Diceros bicornis minor: one gene and its partners. The protein of the gene in region 3 interacts with the protein of the main gene of each other region in a pairwise test. Links are inferred from orthologs where the notes say so. Each region holds a gene or a part of one and is shown on either strand. Other genes may lie near its edges.

What was found. The genes of interacting proteins can lie anywhere in the genome.
Region 1: the proteins of STX4 (region 3) and NAPB interact in binary tests that used the Homo sapiens proteins (3 or more experiments, as listed by UniProt). The two-hybrid records come from large-scale screens. The link is inferred for Diceros bicornis minor from reciprocal best matches to the Homo sapiens genes STX4 and NAPB.
Region 2: the proteins of STX4 (region 3) and plasma membrane ascorbate-dependent reductase CYBRD1 interact in binary tests that used the Homo sapiens proteins (3 or more experiments, as listed by UniProt). The two-hybrid records come from large-scale screens. The link is inferred for Diceros bicornis minor from reciprocal best matches to the Homo sapiens genes STX4 and CYBRD1.

Annotation. Positions count from the first base shown.
Region 1 is NC_080758.1:49,753,129-49,761,020, forward strand, and holds the start of NAPB (beta-soluble NSF attachment protein), read right to left. Parts: upstream 3,021-7,892; 5' UTR 2,977-3,020; coding exon 2,879-2,976; intron 1-2,878. UniProt on the Homo sapiens protein: Required for vesicular transport between the endoplasmic reticulum and the Golgi apparatus.
Region 2 is NC_080749.1:52,860,484-52,867,670, reverse strand, and holds the start of plasma membrane ascorbate-dependent reductase CYBRD1, read right to left. Parts: upstream 3,021-7,187; 5' UTR 2,884-3,020; coding exon 2,691-2,883; intron 1-2,690. UniProt on the Homo sapiens protein: Plasma membrane reductase that uses cytoplasmic ascorbate as an electron donor to reduce extracellular Fe(3+) into Fe(2+).
Region 3 is NC_080765.1:20,991,614-20,998,449, forward strand, and holds the start of STX4 (syntaxin-4), read right to left. Parts: upstream 3,023-6,836; 5' UTR 2,799-3,022; coding exon 2,769-2,798; intron 2,581-2,768; coding exon 2,479-2,580; intron 2,389-2,478; coding exon of another isoform or gene 2,367-2,388; coding exon 2,267-2,366; intron 2,131-2,266; coding exon 2,056-2,130; intron 1,254-2,055; coding exon 1,183-1,253; intron 1-1,182. UniProt on the Homo sapiens protein: Plasma membrane t-SNARE that mediates docking of transport vesicles. Necessary for the translocation of SLC2A4 from intracellular vesicles to the plasma membrane.

The DNA.
Region 1 (7,892 bases), on a different chromosome or scaffold from region 3:
CAAAATTTGATAGCTCATCGCTGGAAACAAATGAAATGAAAACCTATTCTTTTTGTGGCAGTTTTACTCTACTATGCTAAGCCCTTTAGAAAGAGGAAGTTTTAATTTAATTCCACAACTACAAAAACACAACACTGTCTAACAGTGGTTCTCGTGATGCTTTGGTCCCTCAGCAGCTCTTTTCCAGCAGGGGGGATTTGGGGAAGGAACACTGACATCTTGCAGACAAGCATGAGACCTGTGCCTTACACACAGAAGAAATACATGACTGACCCTTTCTCAGAAATATACAATGCATATTTTCATCTAATTTTACTGAAAGCAACACAAAAGGAAGAGCTACAGAAGAGTAGTGAGAATACAGTATTGCCACAAAACCAGTGTTGGATGGTGGATAAACACTGAGTGAAGGAGATGAATAGGTTTTAATCTGCAGTTAGGATGCTGAGAATGAGTCTGTGATCTGAAATATCTGCAATATGCTGAGCAGCTTTTAATGGCTGCCACAGCCTCAAAACAGCATCACCTGTCCTCTTGAAAGCACTAACTGGTCAGCTCTTATCAATATATGGGCTCAGATGATACCTGGTATGTATGTTACTTTGTTAATTCAGGAGTCTGACTCAAAGAGGGTCTACCATGGTTTAAATAAAGGATAACAAGTAGACGATTAGCAAGGAAAATTCTACAGCTAAGGAAATGGGGGCAGGGGAGAGTAACATGCATTCCAGCCTAGAAGGGTGATGACAGGTGCAAGTGACGCCACATACAACATAGGATTCTAAACATCTAAAATTGATACAGAATTTATCTTCCCATTGTAATTGACAGAGAAACTAGGCTTGGTTTTTGGCTTCAAATAATTATATAACACTATTAAAACTCACAGAACTCTGAGTATTCTTCTTCCCCAAGCTTTGCTGGACCCAAGTATTACTGAAAATAACACAGTCCTCCATAACACTTCATGGTACCAGGCTCTTTCGGATATTTTATTTCATTAAAAGACCAATGATCCAGTTCAAAAGGTCTTTGGCTCTGAAATCCTGGAAAAGTCAATCTATCTGGCTCTCTGCTTCCTTGATAAATAACTGAGGCTGACAATTTGGCTGAATATGCTAATTAATATTTCATAATCACCAGCTCCAACAGTACTAAACACTTCACAAGCATAAACTCACTGACCCCTCACTATGAGAAGAACTGTTATTACTCCCATTTTATAGCAGAGGGAATTGAGGCACAGAGAGGCTAAGTAACTTGCCCCGGGTCCCAAAGCTAGGATAATAAAATGACCTGCTATACCAAGGTCTGACCTAGGATGCAATAACTTTGCCCAAACTGAGTGTGAATGGTGAAGATGCAAGTCTTCTTATATGGCCTGTCAATGAAATAGGTGATCAATAGTCAAGGAGAAAAGAGACGGTTCTTTCAAAACAAAAAGGCTTTTCAAAATCCTTTTAGAATTATTGGCTCAAGATTTGGCCTAATTTCACAAAACCAACAACGCAACACCTCTTCACAAAAAGGAATGTTCCGCTGAAACAAGCATCAAGGACTGTAATGCCTTCCTCCTCTGTCTCTTCCAGGGAAGCACATCCTGGCTTGAAATACGCTGTGACATTAAGATCACCTCCTGGCTTGAGGTACCATAACACTCAATTTAATCTGAATAAATTTAAATGTTTTGTGAATCGGAGAAATAATCTATTTTTAAGGATAGCATCAAGATTAGGCAGCGTTCCTCATGTACTGTCATTACTTTGAAAGGGAAAGAAACTTAAAATTCACTGCTATATTCCAAACCACACATCACATGAGAAGTACGGAAACCAGCTGGGATAAATGCCTTCTGAGAGGTTCTTGAGGACAAGGACTCTTACGTTTATGCATCTTTGCAGCCCGTACTACTGTGCACTGCATGAAACCTGCATTTAAGCATTTCCAGCAGATGCATCAACAACTGTAAAGTATTATAACCAAAAGAACGAACGTGGCAAAAAAAGCAGGTTCCACGTTGAATTTGTACAGAAATAAAACTGTGTCTAATCATGGTATGGTTAAGTAGGGGCCACCGGTGCTTCTCAAGAACGAGAACACGCTCTTGGTGTCGACAGAGGATCTTTTGCTTTCAAAAGGCAAAACAAAAAACCACTACGAAATTTCTGTCTCTCATCCTAAACAGCTGAATCATTCATTCAACCGTCCATAATTCTTCCAACAACTGCCAGTGCAGGCTCTGCTTCTGGGGAAGTCCGAATTTAAGACCTTCCCTAGAGAGCACGGAAAAATTATAGAAAATTAACGGGATTCCCCCAAGGACGCTGCCTTCAACAGGCGCCGCCTCATCCATAACCAAATAGGAGGCCCTGGCCACGACACCAGTCTCCGGTGAAGGAAAAATACTATGCCGAGAAGACGCATTCGTTCACCCACGACAATTCACCAAATGCCCACTCGGTGCAAGGCACACGGCCCCTGACCGCTGGAACGGGGACGCCGCGGCCACTTGCCCCTCCGCGGGGACGCGCCCAGACGCCCCTCCGGCGCCCGCGGGGCCGCCTCACGACCCCCGACACCGGGCCCCGAGCAACGCGTCCAGCCGCCGCCAGAGGAACACCCCGGCCGGGCACGGCGGTGAGGGCCCGCGCACCCCCGGCTACCGCGGGCCCGCGAGGCCGGGGACCCCCGCACCGAGGGGGACAGCGCCGGGCCGAGGGGCTGGGGGGGAGCTCTGCGGCCCTGGAGGGTGTGTGGGGCTGAGGGCCCCTGGGGCGTTCTGCGGGCTCCGGGGGACCCCAAGGGAGGCGCGGGGGGCAGCCAGCCAGGGAGGGGCCCGGGACAGAGACCCTCAGGGCACGCGCGGTCTGGCGCTCACCCAAACAGCCCTCGGAGGAAGGAGTGGGAGGCCTTGACTCGCTTCTCAGCCTCCGCCATCAGCTGCACCGCCTCACGCTCCTTCCCCACGTTGTCCATGTCGCCGGCCGCCGCCGCCGCCAAAACCTCCTCAGGCGGCTTGGACGCGGCGTCCAAGGCTTCGCTCGCCTCTCGTAGCGGCGGGGAGCGCAGGCGCGGCGCGCGGCCTGACGGGATTTGTAGTCCCGGGTCTGGAGGCGGGGAGCGCAGACGCGGCCGCGCGGCCTGACGGGATTTGTGGTCCCGGGTCTGGCGGCGGCGAAGCTCGCCGGTCGACTACAGTTGCCAGCTCGCCGCAGAGCTGGGTGTGGTGGGAACCGAGCGTGGAGACCGCGGGCGCCCGGGGAGTGTGACCCTCTGTAGGGGTCCTAGGCCAAGGTAAATTTTAATCGTTTAGGTATGCGGGAAATGGAAAATGACCCCTGGCTTCCAGTAATCATCAACTCAAATACGCAGCATCACGTTGGTTCAAAAATCCCTGCTCGTCAGGATTGACACATGGCAATGGGATGGATGAGGAAACGGATAACAGACTGGAACGCTCAACCTATGCCCCAGCTCTGCAAAGGAGCTAAAGCAGCCTCCGAAAGCAATTTTATTAACCTTGTGATGCCCACGCACTCACCAGCAACAGCTCGCAGAAACAGCCATTTTTATCTCCCGAGCAAGACGTTTAAGAATATATCATTTTCGCTAGTATGAATTCAGAGTTAGTTTTCAGTCTCCCCATATTGTACCTTTCTGTCTCTCCTCTCTTCTTTGATTGTTAATGAGTTGCATTAATGACCAATCTACTCTTTTTATTGACTGAATTCTTTTCAATGGATGTGAGCCATTGAGCTCTCTTATCCTTTATATAATGGTGACCATAGAGAGTGCATCTCCTGGGATGCAAGTCCTGCCTGCCAGGAAGACGTCTAATTTTCTAGGAGAAGTATCCATAGATAGATGCCCTCGGGTGCTAAGGATTTCCAGGCCTGTCCCAGAGGGAGTTATTTTTTAATACAAACTCTAGACCATTTACATTGGCAATACTAAAGCAGAGGTGGTGAAGCAAATATGAAAATCACTGCCAAATGAGAACTTGTGACAATTTCAAACTATTAATAAATACACTGTGGGCTCTGGCACACAAAATATATCTAAGAAAATGAATCCTGTCTTTAGACAGCAAGGCAAGAGGGCCAACTCCTAGAAAGAAAGGTAACTAAAGCACGTGTCACAGAGTCCACGCATTGCAGGCACTCTAGAGAGAGAAGGAAGTCTCACATCTTCAGACAGAGTTTATTTACTCTTACTACATGCATTATTCTAACTTCCAAAAGCTATGTGTGTGCTTTTGGAGCAGTATGGGGGAAGAAGGAGGCAGAAAATTAAAGGTGGCAGTGATACTGAACCTCTTAATCTCAAGTTTGTGTGCCCAATGTGAAATAAGCCGAACACTCAGACACCAGTGCTTGGAGATGGAGAAAGTTTTATTTGAATGGGCCAAAGCGAGAAGGCAGGACAATGGATTCTCTCAGATCCACCTTTACAAAAGAAGAAAACAGGGGGTCTTTGTAGAGCTAAGAGGCTTGGCAGGAAGAATTTTAGAGAAACAAAGGGGAAATCCGTGTTTCTTTCACTCCAGATAAGTCTTTGGGCAGCCGGACTTCTGGGTGTCAACAGCAGCTGGGGCCTGGTTATCTGGTGATCGTAACCTCCTTAAAGACATTGTTTTTCTTCTGCAAGACAAGTTCATAAATCCTTGTGACCCTTGAGTCACCCCTCAGGTTAAACAAGAAAACAGCAAGTCAGCAAGATTAACTTCTTTTCATCTATGTCTGTGTTGGGAACAAGATCGAAGGGTAGTCATGTTCTTACTGAATATTTACAGTAACCCTCAGGTACCCGGCTTCAGCAATAAATGCAGGAGTAAAGAAATAAACTGCAAAAAGTGGACATCAGCATTTGAAAAGCAGAGCAGTCTATGGGGATTTAATGGAGTTGGGCCAACTTGAAAGCTCCTACGAGCAGCATCAAGATGTTGATTAAAGCAGTTCCCAAAGCTGGCTCAATGCAAAAACTCTAAAGGATGTTCAAGAAATACTGATTCCTAAGCCACCAGCTTTTTGTATCAGGATCTCCTGGAGTTGCGGTCTAGGAAGTGCACATATTAAAAAGAATTCTCCACCACTATTCTAAAGCATACAATTTTAGATTCTTAGATCTATAGTCAGCTTAAAAGGAGGTAGAATGGACTGTCTCCTCTAAGCTAGAACTTGCAACTAAGGGTGGCGGGAGTACATCTCGATGTTTTTGATATTTCTGGGTATTTCCCTCATTTTCTTTATCATGGGCACTCCTCCTGTTCCCCCAATCCAGGCTCAGTTGGGAGAAAAACTTCAAACCTTAATTATTGTGTACAGCGTGTGTTTTCTTCTCCCAGAGTCTAGGTGAGGGGATTTGGCAAAGCAGAGAGACAAACCTCACAGAATAAGGACCAACTAGGGGGACAGATGAGGCATTTTTGAAGGGTGAAAGAAAAGGAGACCTGCTCTGGTGTGGACCAGGGAGGGAGTGAGGCCCTCGAGTAGGAGCTGTCCAGGAGTAGATCGAAAGGACCTGTGGCCTACACATGTGCTGACCAGGATGGTGGCCACTTGCCACAGGTGACCATTTAAATTTAAACCAAATAATATGAAATAAGGTACAAAATTTTGTTCCTCAGTCACACTAGGCACATTTCAATTGCTTGATAGCCACAGGTAGCTAGTGGCTGCCATATTGGACTGCACAAATATGGAACATTTCTGTCATTGTACGAAGTTCTGGTGGACAATGCTGGCCTATACACACCTTGCCTTTCAATGGCTCTGGACACTTGGAAGAAAAGAGGAAAAAGGCTTCAGACTGCATTTCTGGGAAGATGAGCAGGAAAGGAGGTGCCTGCACCCTGAACAAGGCAGAGCCAAGCAGAACCTGCAGGCCTTTCCTTATGAGCAGATCAGAGTAGACACAAAGACACTCAGACTGAATGAACGCATGAGGTTAGATTGGAATGTCGAGTGTCCAACTACCCACCCTGAGAGGTGGCCTGCAAAGGCAAGGCTGAAGCCATTTGAGAACAGCCAGCTCTAAGAGAAGCAGGGTCAGAAAAGGACCCATGGGGAAAACAAGGTGTGGCCATCTGCGTGTGTTCATAGAAGGGGGTGTGGCATGCAGAGAGTCCTGTGTGGAGTTCGGCACTGCGAGAGAGTGCAGCAGGCACAAACGCAGTGTACCTCCAGGATTGCCTGGGCTGGCCTCCTGACTGGCTAGTGCAGATGCCTAGTGCACTGGGTGAATAACCGCCATGCAGCTGAGTGCAGCTGCTCACACTACTCAGGGTCCAGCAGCAGCTACCAGTTACTAAGGTCACTTAGTGTCACCCACCTCCCCTCCCTGTAATTCCAAAGTCAGTTGGAAACTGCTGATCATGACTAGCACTTAATATTCACATGCTTGCTGGTCCCAACTACTGTCACCTGCAATTCTCCTGGGGGTTCTCTTTGGCATTCCAGCCTGCTCTGCATGAACGCTGGAGGAGTAGGGGGATTAATTAGCTTTATTAATAGAGGAATTAATGCCTCTTTGTCTCCTGGGAGCAGCCCTCAATCAATGACTGTTGGGAAGTGGAAGGATAAATACCCATCTGGTGGGACAACTCTGAGGAATGTTCTATACTCTCTCTTAGAGGGCCCCAGTGGGAAGGAGCACCAGCTACCTACAGTAGAAGGTCGTTTGTTCTATACCCTTTATTGACTTCCTTCCTTTCCCTGCCCCCACACCCCACTGGTGCTGCCTGCTGATGTCACCTCCCGATAAATTGCTTTCTCTAGACTCCTTGTCTCAAGGTCTCCTTCTGGGAGGACACAAACTAAGACAGAGAGAGTATGCGCTGAGGACCAATAGGTGTGTTCTGGTCCCCATGGGCAGTCATGGTGTTCATTACATTACAGATTCATAGATTAGCATTCTCATCCATGGATAATTGTATACTTAGGGTTCTGCTTCCCCACTTCAACTTAGTGGTGTAAAACAACAGTCATTTATTAGTATTATCGCCTGTGGTCTTAGGGGTTTTAGGGACTGGGCTCAGCTGGGGAGTTCTCAGTCAGATGGTAGCAGAGCTGGGGCCTCCTCTTCCCGCACATGCCTGGTGCCTGGGATGAGAAGACTCAAAAGGCCAGAGCAGCCACAGATCCTCGCATCACTCTCTGGTCTCTTACATGGTGGCCCGGGCGTCAAAGGTGCTGGGGGGAGGGGGAGCCGGGTGGCGGGTGGATCACCTTTATGATCTAGTCTCCAAAGTTCTGAGCCATCACTCCTGCTTCCCTGAAGCAAATCACTCAGGCTCACCCATATTCAGGGGGTGGATCTCGAAGGGTTTACAGACATGTTAAAACAACCACAGTTAGGTTCAGGGGAGCCAGTTCCCACCCTGGTCCACTCCAGTTACATTGACAAAGCTGTGAAGCTGGAGTCTCCCTGTGGGGGCTGGGGAGCAGCCCCTTACCTCCAAGGGCCCTGGAGCCACGAGGGGCCCTGCCCGGCCTTCAGCTCCTCCTCCAATGACATCTCCGCCTCGCTTCTGTCTGCAAAATAAGAGTGGCTCGGAGGCAGCTGGACAAGGCCAAGTCTGTGCAGCGTGCTCCCCTTTAGAAGGCAGGGAAGAAAGGAAGCCATTCCAGTAGGCTCTTCATCCAAAAGCATAAAAGTAATGAATTCATGAAAATGAATGTTCTCCATTCCTGGTGTTGAGGTGGGGCTTCTGTACTTTGTGCAGCTTTAAGGACAGAATTTATTCACTCTGTTTACAGTGGTTCTTTTCCTTTTCCTCATGGACTTGCAAAACTCGAGAGCATTTGAATGGGAACTTCAGACAAATAATTAGATAAGTGCTTTTTCTTATAATTTTTTTTAACTTTTCAAATCAACATTGGTTTGTGTATGTG
Region 2 (7,187 bases), on a different chromosome or scaffold from region 3:
TCCTTCCACTGGAGCCTTCCTACTGCTGTGTGCGAGGAGGTACAGGTGGGCCGAGATTTGTAGGAACTCAGGAGTACTATGCATGTGCCTATGTGTATGAAAAAGTTTATGTTCATGTCAATGAGATGTATTATGTGATTAAAGTGCTTTGCAAATCTGGAATCCAAATACTAAACAGGATAGGTAATGTTGACAGAACATACATTCCAAAACTAACACAAATACAGTAACTAAACTTAAAGAAAACAAGGTTTGCATAAAAGCAGCAGATGAAAATTTCCAAAACATCCATTTACAGATTTTTGCCCAAAAGTGAGTATAAACAGATTAAGAAAATTCCAAAGTTTAGAGAAATTAGAAATTATTTTAGGAAAACTGTAATGGACTCTAACATGAAGAGTTTTAAAGTATATTTTAAAGTAAGTTTTTTATGCCTCTAAAAAGAATATTTTACAGAAAATAGGCATATTGCCATTAAAGCAGAGAAATGAACCTTGAATAAAGGCCACTGAAAACGCTTATATGACTTCCGTGGGTAAGTTACTTAACTGCTCTGTGCTTCCATTTACTCTTAGAAACCTGTGAAATAATGCCCTTAGTGGGCACACAGGAAGCACTCAATAAATGTTAGCTATTGTTTTGTGACTTTGTCTCCCCTTTGGTAAGTCAGGAAGTTTCCCTTTTCCCCAAATACGAGAAGATATTCCAGAACCTCTGGAAAGTATTTTGGTATTAGGAGCTGCTCTGAAGCATTGGCTGGAAGAGATGAAGAGACTTACTACTGCTTTGAGCAAACAGATGGTGTTGACAGCTCTGGCCAAACTTAAGGGCTCCACCAGGAAGGAAAGAGTTCTGATGTCAGCGACTTTGGAACTTGAGTATGTTTTTCTCATTTTAGTTTAGTGGCAAAATAACTGGGTCTTATGCAACGAAATAACTTAGCTGGCCAGCAGTACTCACACCCCGGTGCCAATTCCCATACCAGGAAGCCTTGAGACCAAGGCTGGGCTTTAGCAACGTCTCCCACTACATCCCAGAGTGGAAGAAAGGCAGCCATACCCTCCGAAGGCTGCAGCCCAAATTTTAAGTGGAAACAAAAATCTTTTTGTTACGAATGAGGTCGGAGCTTTTTTGTTGCTTGTGGAGAGTTAAATATTGGTGGAGAAAAGGCAGCCTGTTCAGAAGCAAGGCTAGATTCTTCAGCCGGTGGGCACCTCTTTCCGAACCCTTTCCTCTCCTCTCGATTACTTTCTGCGACATAACCCCAGGCCACTACTTTCTTTTTCTAAATACTTTCTCTGCCAAGGCCTTGAGTTCACTTTTTGGAAAGTGGTTACAAATAAAGGGCGCTGCACCACTACCTAGAGGTTCCTCCAGCCAAACAGCAGCCAAGGAAACTGTCAGGGCGTTGTGAACCGCACTACGCAAGGACAATGAAAACTGCCGTCGATTGGTGGTTGCCAGAGGGGGGTGGGCGGGCGAAATGGGTGCAGGTACAAACTTCCAGCTATAAAATAAATAAGTCCTTGAGATGTAATGTACAGCATGGTTACAACAGTTAATAGCACTGTTTTGTATATCTGAAAGTTGCTAAGAGAGTAGATCTTAGAAGTTCTCAACATGAGAAAAAAAAATTATAACTATGTGAGGTGACGGATGTAAACTAGACTTATTGTGACATTTCGCTATATATATATATACAGAATCACATTATACACCTGAAACTAATATAATGTTATATGTCAATTAATTATACCTCAGAGAAGAAAAAACGCCACGGACTGACCCCTCCCGCCGCGCCAGCCTCAGCCCAGAGCAAGCAGGCCCGGAGCGGGCTCGTCGCCGGCCGCCGGCGGGCATTTCCTGCCCGGAGTTCCCGGCAGCGGCCAACAGGAGGCCTCGCCAGCGAACTTGCGCCAGTCGACAGCCACAAAAACACGCTGGGCTCAAGACTGACCAATGACCAGGCAGGGCAGCGAAACACCCTCTGGAGACCTGGCAGCTTCTCGGGCTCGACTGAGTCTAACGCTCTAAGAGGAGTGAATCCAGATGCTGATGCCCCAGCTTCCGACTGACCAGCCCCTCCACTCAGGCTGACGATGGGACAAGAAGAGGCAGATTCTCGCCCCTCCATTTCCCCCGATTGCCTCGCTCTCCTAATCTACAATTCTCCTAACTTGAAGCAAGTCCAACGAAAGGCCTCGCCTAGCAGAGTCTCCGCGCCCCTGACTGCGCAGGCTCGGCCCACAGGGGGCGACTTTCCGGCGCTAGTGGCCTGCGGGCCGCACGGCGCTCTGGCACCTCCCCTGCGTCCAAGCCACTCGCAGCAGAGTTAAGCAGGTGGAGCCGCGCCCGCTCCGCGCCGCTGTGCCCAGCCGCCCCCCGTAACGCGCCTCACAGCGAACCCCGGGCGCCGGGGCGCCCCGTCCCGGCGCCGCCACTCCCGCGATCGCCCGCGGCGGCCCAAGTCCCAGCTCGGCCCCGCCGGAGCACGCCCACCTCCCTCCCGCTGCGCGCCCCGCCGACTCGGCTCGGGGGCGCGCTCCGCCCCCGGCTCCCCGGCGCCCGCGCGCCCCTCGCTCTTCCCTCACCCCTTCGCTCGACCACGTCGGCCCCACTCGGTTGGGACTAGGTCGGGGACCCCCAACCCGCGCCTCCCTCCCGGTCGCTTTCCAAGAGACGCCCAGTACCGATGCCCTGGATGAAGACGAAGCCAGTGACCACAAGCACCGGGTGCCAGTTAAACTCGAGCGCGGTCCCATCCCAGCCGAGCCCCTCCCGGTAGTGGAGGACCCAGACGAGGGTGAAGATCACGGACAGGAAGCCGACGAGTAGCCCCGACACCAGCAGCCCCAGGAAGCCCCTGTAGCCGTCCATGGCCATCAGAGTCCCATACTCCGCGCCCGGGCAGCCACAAGAAGTCGGCGAGGCGGCGGCGGCCTCTGGGTACCAGCCCCGCGGCAGGACGCGGGCGTCGACTTCTTGAAGCTGTCTCCGCCCGGGAGGAGGGGCTTTCTCGCCGGCTAGCCAGAGATGTGGGGCCTCCACGGGGTGGGCAGCTGGCCCTCGCTCAGAAACCAGCCCCACCCCTGGGATCTCGCGGCCGCCGAGAGCTCTCTGCGCGGTGGCCGCCCCCTGGCCCGGCGTCCGAGCTGGCCGAGGGCTCAAGTAACTGAACCAGTTAGTTGTTCAGAGCTAGAGCTCCGAGAATCCCAAACCACCACTTTAACTTTTCTTGTGTCTCTTCCTTCTTTGTGGGAGGCTGAATAAGGCAGTGGTGCGCACTCTCGGTTAACAGAAAACAAGGTCCATTGGGTGGAGTGTGTGTGATTTTGATTAACGAAGCACTCTAAGCCCCAGGCCTAGAAGGTTGGCTGTCTTGGATGTCAAGGAAGCGCCAAGCGCCAAGCAGGACTCTGTGGGGCGGTATAGGCTTGGCCTTACCTAGCAAGGAAACTATTTGCAGTTTGCGCTTTAGAGAGGGAAGACAGACATCTCTTGGACCCTGGACTTGCCTATGTAGTGTAATAAAAAATGGATCCTAAAAGTGGCCCCCTGCCCAAATCTATTTGGACCAAAGCCCCGCCTTGATGAAGTGAGGCTCACGCCCTCCCTTCTTTCCAACATTATTATCACTCTTCTCAATTGGACAAAAAATGTGTCGGTGTTCTCTCTTGCTATTAAAGGAACAGGGCTCTGGCTATTAGGACTTCTAGAATGTATTTGGGAACGTTCACTTCTAACTCTCTCCTGTAGCTCCTCTCTAAGGACTAGTATACCATATTGTCTTGTTGCCATTTTGAAAGACCTTAGAAGGTTCAAGAAGTGCATAGGAGTGATTTTAAATGGAAAAGACAGGTTTTAGGCCAACAAGTAGGAGTGTCAAACCCTGGTAGTAGCAGGATTAAGGGCTAAGAATAAGAGGCTGCAGACCTCAGCGGTATCATTATTTTTCCCTTGGTGTAGAGAAAGAGAGGGAGAGTAAGCAAATGGAAAAGAAGGACTGCTTCCCACAGTAGAAGGCTTTCTGTGGTCTGGCCCAGTCTAGTCCTCCACTCTAATCCTTTACCACAACCTGACTGGCCCTGACTGAATCAACCTATCCATGGCGGTAAACTTCTCTCCCAGCTCCTGACCACTCCCTACCGACTTCCCTGCCCAACCCCATCTCCACCAAGAAACCTTCTTTGAGTTTGCCTATACGCCTATTTTACACCTCCGCCCACCTCTCCATCCAATGCCTCTCTGCATCACTTATCAAGATGTAATATATAAAGATCTGTTTCTGTGGCTGTCTCCACTCCCTTGACTGCCCCCTCGAGGCTATAACTGTCTAATTTATCATTTTATTTTTCTTTGGCATATAGTAGTTACTCAATATGTTTGTTGGGAGATAAATGGCAGGAAACAGATGGCACATTCCAATTGGGCAATTTAATAACGCACAGGACTATTTACAAAGTTGTGGGCAGGGTGTGTGAAACCACAAGGGTTTTGCAGTGTCCAGGCCTGAGTGGGGAGATGGCTACTGGAATCCCGAGAGAGAGAGAGAAAGAGAGAGAGAGATAGAGAGAGACTATGGCCTTGAGTTGAAGGATGCAGCCAGCTTGCAGGGACCCCATAGGGAGGAAGAATGGGAGGCAGGATGAATATTCCAGCCTTACTCTCTTCCCCTCCAATCTCCTGCCCAGGGACCCAGTGGTTGAACCTAATCGGAAGCCAGAGGGCAGTTGATGCAGTTCATATAGGTCAGCCTCTGGGGACAAACAGCAGAGTGGAGAAGGGTGAGAGTAGATCCACAGGAATAAATAGAGACTATACTGAATCTTCCAGTTCTATATTTTCAGTCATTTGGTTCCTGAGTGCTGTATACATGCCCTGTTTAATTTTATGCTGTTTCTCTTCCTCTGTGACCTTTAGCTAGTAGTTCTTGAACAAGAATGTCATTGTGTCCCTATTCTTCTCCCTGAAAGTATCTAGTCCTTGTCCCCAGTTAACTTCTTCACCCCCTTAACTCAATATCTTCACTCCACTCGAGTTGATTTTGCTCCATAGCAGCAGCAAATAAGAATCTCCGGGATTCCAGAGCCCATTTAACAAAACATCTCAGGAAAAGAAAACATGGCCAAATGGTACGGATGGTGTTGAATCAGCTTGAAGTTACAAGCTAAACAGAGAATTTCAACTGTTAAGTTGTCCTTTAAGGACCTAACTTTGATAAAACTTGTCACTTGGAAAAGGAAAATTTTCACTAAGTATTCACTAAAATTTCACTAAGTGGCTTAGTGTTAAGAACTTTTTTTTAACAGAGTTGTCCAATAATAGGAGATGGTAAACAGTTTGTCACCAAAGTACTTACTCAGACTAGATAACCTGTCAGTAATTCGATCTAAGAGATTCCTGATGGGGGGGGGGCATGGAAGTGAGGCATTGAACAAGACAACCTTCCAAAAAACCTGTGATTCTAGACACACGTACATAATGACACAGATTTTTATTTTCACTGACGTAGACATAAAATGCAGAGTAAGAAGATAAGGTAGGGAAAGAAAATCCAACCCCACCCATCTATCTGTTGAACTTCCACGAAGTAATGTTGCATTTCTTTTGGTGCATACAGAGGTCCAGTATTCTAATGTAAAGTATGATAAGTTGTACATAGTGGTTTGCTTTGTGGGATAAGTGGACCATTTTTTAAACTTGCAAATGTTGACTATGTGTTGGTTACTCTGTTTGCCCCCCCATTCTCCACCCTTCTTTGCCTTGCCTTGTGCCCTGGCAGGCTCCTTGCCCACTGGCTTCCATTTGGCTTTGGCCGATGGGTGGTTCTGGAAGGAGATCAGAGGGCAGGAAGAAAGAGAGGTCGACCTATTTATCCCTCTGTGCCCCCTTGCCAGGCCATGGTTTTTGCAGTGGTTGCGTTCCTCTTTGCCACGATGACTGTCAACTTTCAACTGGCCTGTCTTCCATATCTACAGCTCTTGTAGGGTCCAGTAACACCACACCCCTTTGCTTCTGCAGGCCCAGGTGTAATATTGGCTGCCTGCTCTTGCTTGTCCTGGGTCTTCACCATTCCTTGTTGGGTTCTCTTAAGTCTGTTTGCACCTCTATAAAGAGTCCCTTTATTAAACTCTCTTCAATTAAATCCTTTGGGCAAACTAGCTGTTTCCTGCAGGACCCTGACAGGGACAAGTGGAAAAATACTCTCATCTAATACTAGTGTTTCCCTAGCCCCACCTAATTGTCTATGTCTTCTTAGGACATATTATGAAAGGAGGAATACATGAAGCAAGAAAAAATCACAAGCAGGAGGAATGAGCTCACACATCTTCCTGTCCTCGCTTCTATTAGACAAGAGATTTGGGGATCAGAAAGCTGTCTCAGATGACTAAGATAAAGCGACTCAGAGCTGACATCGTGACTCAGGATGTAAGCCAAACCCAGGCAGTGGTCAAAGGCTCCTTAGTGAAATAAAGTGAGGGTTACAGTTTTGAAAAGAACACAATCAAACCCATGTTAATAGGAGGAATATAATTTCCTCATGTGAAGCTAGACTGTGTTGTCTTCAGGGAAAAAAACTAAATGTCTACTTTGCTGAGGTGTTTCTCCTCTGAGGGAATTGGTGAAGAGATCAGCCCAGCTCTTGCTGTGGGGAGAATGGCTATGGAACTGGCCTCTACCACCTCCCTACCTTAGGAGGCTCACCGAGTCCACTCGCCCCAAGAAAGTGGCTGGAGTAAGGAATGATTTCACTTGTATCTGGCCATGGCCTGAGGAGCCCCAGTTTGGGAAGAGATGGGAAGTAACTCTCTTGCTGAGGGAGCAGAATAGTACAGCAGACTGGGAAGCAGATACAAGGAGTAGAGGAAGATGTCTGGGGAGAACAGGGGTTTGAGGGGAGGACCCTGAAAGGAGCCCAAGCAAAAGGCCTAACTCAATAGATCCTCTTCCCGAAGCTGCATTGGGGCATTGGGTGGGGAGGGGAGGGAGGTTAGACCAAGGCATTACTTCTGTTCCTTCCACACTATACTGCTTTGTAAGATCTACCTGACCCGCCATTTAATTTTTAAAATTGCTTCCATCATCATCTTGTGTGAGTTGGTTTGGGGAAAACTGGTGAGGCAGGAAGCACTTAGGAAAGAAATTGTTAGCTCTTCCTAATCATCTTGTATCTTCCTAATCATCTG
Region 3 (6,836 bases):
CACCACAGTGGGCTCCTTACTCCTCCCTGAACAAAGCACACCCCCACCTCAGGCCTTTGCACTCACTGTTCCTTCGGCCTGGAATGCTCGGGCCCCACAAAGGCCTTTGAGTCTTTGTTCCAATGTCACTTTCTAAATGAAGTTTTCTTCACCTTATTGAAATTGCAACCTGCCTTCTCCCAGCGCTCTCAATCCCTCTTCTCCTGCTCTTTTTTCCTGAATACTTACTCTGTTCTAAAATAATTTACTTATTTATTTTGGTGATTGTCTCACTCAATAAATCTGTTGAATGCTGGCGGAACACCCGTTTTATTGCTTAGCTGGGAGGTGTGCTAGTGGGCCTGGAGGTCAGCCTGCCGCCCAGATTACAGGTCCACCTGGGCCGTCAGCCTCTCACACTGACGACCACTGACGACCATCACAGGCTCCCCCTGAAACGGCTTCTCGCCTTGTCCATTCCCCTATTGCCTTAAATGTGCTCATTGGACTACCTTCCTCAGAGACACATCTGCTATCCTGGCTTCAGCTGTATCCTTTCAAGATGCCCAAACTGCTCCATATTCAATCTTGTGCTGAACTCTGGGCCCACCTACTCCAACTCTGACCTCCATAAACTCCAAACCACTCCTCACTGGGCATCCAGAGGGGGCTGGTCACATCACCTCAAATCTCCTTACTAAGATGTGATTCAGTGACCTTCCCTCCCCCAGGGAAGTTCCTCTTCTGGACTTCTTGACTTCTGCCCATGGGGCAGAGGATGTCCCTGTCACATGGGCAGGAAACCTCCCAGTCATTTATGACTGCTCCCTCTTCTTCCCTGAGCAGAGCCATTAGCTACCAAGTCCTACCTGAGTAATGTCTTTGTCACCTATTCAAGTTTAACTCCCCATCTTGGCTCCTAGAAAGCATGTCTACCCACAGCCAAGCCCAGGTCATGTCTGGAGACTCAACAACTTCTCATTGAATGGAGGAGAAGGCAGGGTGTTAGAATGGATTAGGAGTGAGGAGACCTGGGTTTTGGACTTGGGTAAGTCCTTTCTCTCTCTAAGCCTCAGTTTCCCCATCTGGAAAATCATCAGGTTGGACTTGATAATAAGAAGGAAGGGCCCTTCCTTCTTACTTCTGCCATCTAATGATCTATAAAACACTGAAATGACCTAGTTCTGGGAATAACAAACCCACCTGGGTTTTTCTCATTCTCGTGTTGACCGAGGTGTAATTCTCATCACCTTCTTCCTTCTGGGGCTCTATGGCTGTGGGAAGACACAAGGGTATTGCTGGGGGAGGGGTTTCACCTGTGGCTTCTGAAAATCATTTAGGGACCAGGACACAAGGCCAGGGCCATACCCCAGCCATACAAAAGAGAGGTGTTTATCTCCATAGGATTGGGGGTGGGGATATAATTTATCATAAAATGACTAATTCTGAACTTTTGACAAGAGAAAAGTTATATTTTTCTTTGCAATACATCAGAGAATTCTCACAGGTACGCAGAGGCCTCCTAACAAAACCCCCATCTGCCTGCCCAAGGAATGCACACTGGGCAGCAAAAATTGTAGGAGTAAATGGTTTCATTACAAATAAAGCCTCAAGAGGCAGGCATGTGCCATGGAAAGTACTATAGAGGGGCGGCCCAGTGGCACAGCGGTTGGGTTCGTGCATTCTGCTTTGGCGGCCTGGGCTTCACCAGTTCAGATCCTGGGCGTGGACCTACTCACAGCTCATCAAGCCATGCTGAGGTGGCATCCCACATAGAAGAACTAGAACGACTTACAACTAGGATATACAACTATGTACTGGGGGCTTTCAGGAGAAAAAAGAAAAAAAATGGGGGAAGATTGGCAACAGATGTTGGCTCAGGGCCAATCTTCCTCAAAAAAAAAAAAAAAAAGAGAGAAAGTACTGTAGACTGGAAGCCAGGAGACAGAGATTCTAGATCTAGGCCTGCTGTGTGACCTGGATATATCTCTGGCTTCTCTGGGCCACACACTCCCCATAAGCCAGGAGCTGGGCAGGAACAGAGGGAAGGATCTGTCTGAGGTCCTAGGAGCTCACCCTTCAGCTCCGCGCGGATCTCCCTCCCCAGCTGTTTGATCTCGTCGCGCAGGTTCTGCAAGTCCTGCTTCATACCTGAACAAAAGAAAGCCATGACTCCCAAACAGCATCCTATACCTCAACAAATCTTCCTGGCCACCACCTGCCTGGAACTGCAATCCCCACAATCCCTCTGGCTGAGCGTGCGTTCTGCACCCGGGGTTTCACTCACCCTCCTCGGGAAGGGGCGTGGCCAGGATGGTGACCTGCTGCTTCTCCAACACTCGGACTTTATTCTCCAGCTTGACAATAGCCTGCTGAATTGTCCGGACCTGGGGAGGGTGACCGAGAGGGCTGAAGGAGATATGGGGGTACTCCAGACCGCGCTGCTCCTCAGGTCTTCCAGTTCCCTCGTGAATCCAGGCCGGGACTCCAGGCTCTTACCTTCTGGAAGAACTCATCGTCCGGGCTCCCCAACCGCGCCGTGCCCGGGTGTACCACCAGCGCGACCCGCTCCTTGTTCTCATCGTCCGAGCTGTCATCCCCCTGCCAGGGCCAGGGTCACTGGCATCACTTCCTTGCTGTAGCTCTCTTCCCGCAGAACTCACGGGCTTCCGGGTCTTTCCTTCCTAGCCCTCAGCCACCCCTCCCTGCCCCAAAGACCAGGAGTCCTGCATTTCAGCCAGATCCCACCCCGTCCGCCCGTCCCCAACCCTGCTGCCCCGACTTCTCACCTGCCTCAGCTCGTGGGTCCTGTCCCGCATGGCGGCCGGAGCTCTCTTTCCCCGGCGCCGGAGCCCCGAGGGCCTCAAGATTCTAAGTTTGGAACTCCGGTACCCCACTGGCACTCTGACACTCCCCTCCGCCCTCACCCCGCGGACCCCAAAACCTCCCACGAGCCTCCAGAGGCTCTGTCCCTGGCACCATCCACAGTCAATGGGAAGGAGGCGACCTCGGGGACCCCCAAGTTTCCACAGGTTGGAATTCCCTTTTCTTTCCCCCCTCCCGCCCCGGTGGCCTCGGCCCCGCCCCCCTGGGATGATTCAGGGCATGCGCACGGGGTCGCGTCTCTTCCCCGCCCGAGGGAGAGGCAGAGGTCGGAAACTGTAGCGCCCCGAACGGAAGCAAAACTGCCAGGACGTGAGAACCCTCCCCCTCGACCGGAACTGTCGCATCTTTCAACGGAAATCTGCTTGCCAAAAGGGGTGGGAATGCGTCATTTGTACGTAATGTGAGAGGCCCTGCATCTCACATCACCCCATAGTGCCCCCCTGCGTCACGTGATCGACCGGGTCCCAGCCTCGCGGACCACAGAACGTGAGCCTTTGACTGTCACGTGTCTTGGCTCTGTCAACTCTGTATCTGAAACATCCTTCTCCCCACGACGTCCGCGGCACTCCGGCGCCCGAGCTACGCCCTTCCAGCCCACCGAGGCGGGGAGGGGGCGCTATCCCCAGAGACCTGTTGAGGCAGTGGGTGGTAGGACCCTTGCTGAATTCAGCTTTATTTCTTTGGGGCCCAGGGCCGTGGGCAGACGACTTAGAATTTGGGGCTGTCAGCATTATGGGACCTTGAAATTCAGAAAATAATAAGATCCAGCGTCAGAGAATTGCAGGGTTTTGTAGGCAGAGAATCTGGGGGTGGGAAGTGACCTCACCCAAGGCAGAAATCTCTTTTTCCGCATACTCCTGGCACAGCTTCCCACAGGTGGGCGGCTGGCGCCCTGCTTGAACATTGCAGTCCTGCTGCACTCATCACCTTCTGAGCAGCGAGACCATTTCAGGGCAGCTCAAGCTAAGAAAAATGTATTATATTGAGCAGTCTGCCACTTACACCTCCCTCCCACCCCCGCCCGCCCCCACCTTGCACCTAGGTCTACCCTCTGGAGTCCACAAAACATTCTGCCCACATTCCATATTATAGCGGACTGTGAGCTCTTGAGGTCAGGGCATGACTGTCTTGTTCTTACCTGAATCGCCAGCACCTAGTTCAGTACCCAGCACATAATGGGCCCTCAATAAATATTTGTGGACAGAATTTTAGCCTTTCATGCATCTGAAGATAAAGCTCATAGTTCCCTAGTCTTCTGTTTCAGGCTTCAGGCTCTCACGGTGACACTCCCCTAACCCTGGCCCTCTAGAGGTTCATTCATTCAGTGGATGTTTATTGGGCGTTTACTATGGGCCAGACACTGTTCTAGGGGCCGGAGATACATCAAGGGCTAAGAGGCAAAAATGCCTTGCCCTTGTGGAGCTTACATTCTTTTTTTTTTTTTTTTTTAATTTTTATTTATTTATTTGTTTTCCCCCCAAAGCTCCAGGAGATAGTTGTATGTCATAGTTGCACATCCTTCTAGTTGCTGTATGTGGGACGCGGCCTCAGCATGGCCGGAGAAGCGGTGCGTTAGTGCGCGCCCGGGATCCAAACCCAGGCCGCCAGCAGCAGAGCGCATGCACTTAACCGCTAAGCCACGGGGCCAGCCCCTGGAGTTTACATTCTATAGCAAGAGTCCCCAAGACTACTCAGTGAGTCTCGGCATAGCCAGAATGGATATCAAGTCTTCTGGACCCCGGGGCTCTTTCCAGGGTGCTTATATGAAGATTCAAGCAAGGGAAGGAATAGCCCCTCTCTAGTATGCCCTGGTAAGGAAAACTAGATTCCTGTGACTGAGTTGCTGTGGACTTCTGGAAAGTCACTTATCTCTGGGCTTTGATCCCCCATCTACACAATAGGTGGCAGTAGGAGGATGGGGAGATAATCTTGATGGGTATTCCCTGCTCTAATGTTCAGTGATATGAGGTTGGAAACTGTCAAGTGCTGTCTGATTCTATGTGAAGACTTTGATCCTTCTCCTCTTCCCTTTAGAATCCAGCTCGCCTGGGTTGGGAATGAAGGAATGAGGATGTGCTGCCCTGATCAACCCACAGGAGGAATAAAGAATGAAGGGTTCAGGAGGCCAAACCCTGCCCCGTGGAGTCCCCTGGAGATCATGAGGAAGGATTTCTCTGCTCCTGGATCTTCCATGTTAGCCTCTGCCTCCCTGCCCTCCTCCCTTCTTTCTCTCTGTCTCTGTCTGTCTCTCTCATACTCTGAGTGGTACAGTGGAAGGGCTTTGGACATCTGACTCCTAGTCCTGGGGGTGATCTTGAATAATTCATTGCTCCTCTGTGGGACTTAATTTCTTCATTTGACAACTTGGTCTGGTAATTTCTGTCTTGCCTAGGGTAAGAACTGAACAATATCAAGTGAGGTTAAGAAGAATTTGGAAGGGTCTTGTAAACTGTGGAGAGTTCCTCCCTCTGTGAGCTTTCACTACTGTGGGTTCCAGCTCTCTCTGGGCCTACGAGTCCCACCTGCCTCTCTCTGTTTCTTAGCATTTTGATGACTTGCCTTCTTGGTTCCCAGCTGTGATCTGGAGTTCTTGGTGCCTTTGTTAAATTTCCCAGGACTATGATATTCATTTTATTTGTGGTCTCTGGGTAGGATCGCAGGGCTTTGCGATGGTGGCTTAAGGCCACAGGAGGGCAGGCTGAGAGCCTCATGGAGGGGTGTGTGGAGGGGCCAGGGAGCAGGGGCCATCTAGGGAGAATGGCTCTGGGGATAGAGCTTTCCAGAGCTGAGCCCTTATCTCTGTCTCATAGTCCTTTTTTACTCCTCTCAGGCCCTCAGAGCAGCTTTGAAGTGTGTGTTAAGTATATTGGGTTTTGCATGTGTGGGTGTTGGGGGGGGGTGGCGGTGTGTATTTTCTTTTCAATCTGTCTGAAGGTTGGGCCCTACCTGTTCCTGAGGCATGGCAGCCTGTCCCGTCCCCTCCACCTATAGGTCCATCCTATTAACACTGGAGCCAGATGACCTGGGTTGGAATCCCAGCTCATTCAACTACTATATAACTCTATAAGACAAGTTACTTAACCTCTTCATGCCTCAGTTCCCTCATTTGAAAAATAGGACGGTAACAGTACCAACCTCATAGGGTTGCTGTAAGGATTAAATGAGATGATATATGTAAAGTGAATAGAACAGTGCCTGGTACGGAATAAGTGCTATATAAGTGTTTGATGCTATTATATGACAGAAATGATGATGATTTTTACCACCAGGGTGTCCGCAGCCCCAGTGTCTCTGCCAGAGATTCCACTCTGCTGCCTGTCCAGGCTCTTCCTTTCCTTTTCCATCTCCTGAGCCCCACTGTGCACCAGGTCCTAGGCTAGCGGTCCTGCACATCTCTCATGTCTTCACTTGGATCTGACACACCTTCTATTTTGCTTATTTATTTTATATATTGTCTATCTTCACCCGTCCTGTCCACCCTGCTAGAAGCTAAGCTCCATGAGGGCAGGGATTTTCACCTGCATCATTCACTGCTGTGTCCCCAGCACCTACAACAGTGCCTGGCACATAGTAGCTGGTCAATAAACATTCATGAATGAATGAAATTATTTCTTTTTAGTTTAATACTTACATAACATTTACTCTGTGCCATGCACCAATGTAAGCAGGTTATAGATATTTACTCATTTAACCCTCATATCAATTCTATGAGATTGGTACTATTATTGTCCTCATTTTACAAAGGAGGAAACTGAGGCACAGAGATGTTAAGTAACTTGCCAAAAGTTACACACTAGTAAATGAGAGAGCCGGAATTTGAACCCAGAGAGTGGAGGTCCAGAGTCTATGCTCTTTCTTAACCACTATACTGTGACCCAAGGAAAACACTAGCCAGGACTGGCTTCCCATGTTCCACCCACCTTTGGGGACTTGCTGCCAACTATTGATGCCCTGCTTTGGATCATCTAGGG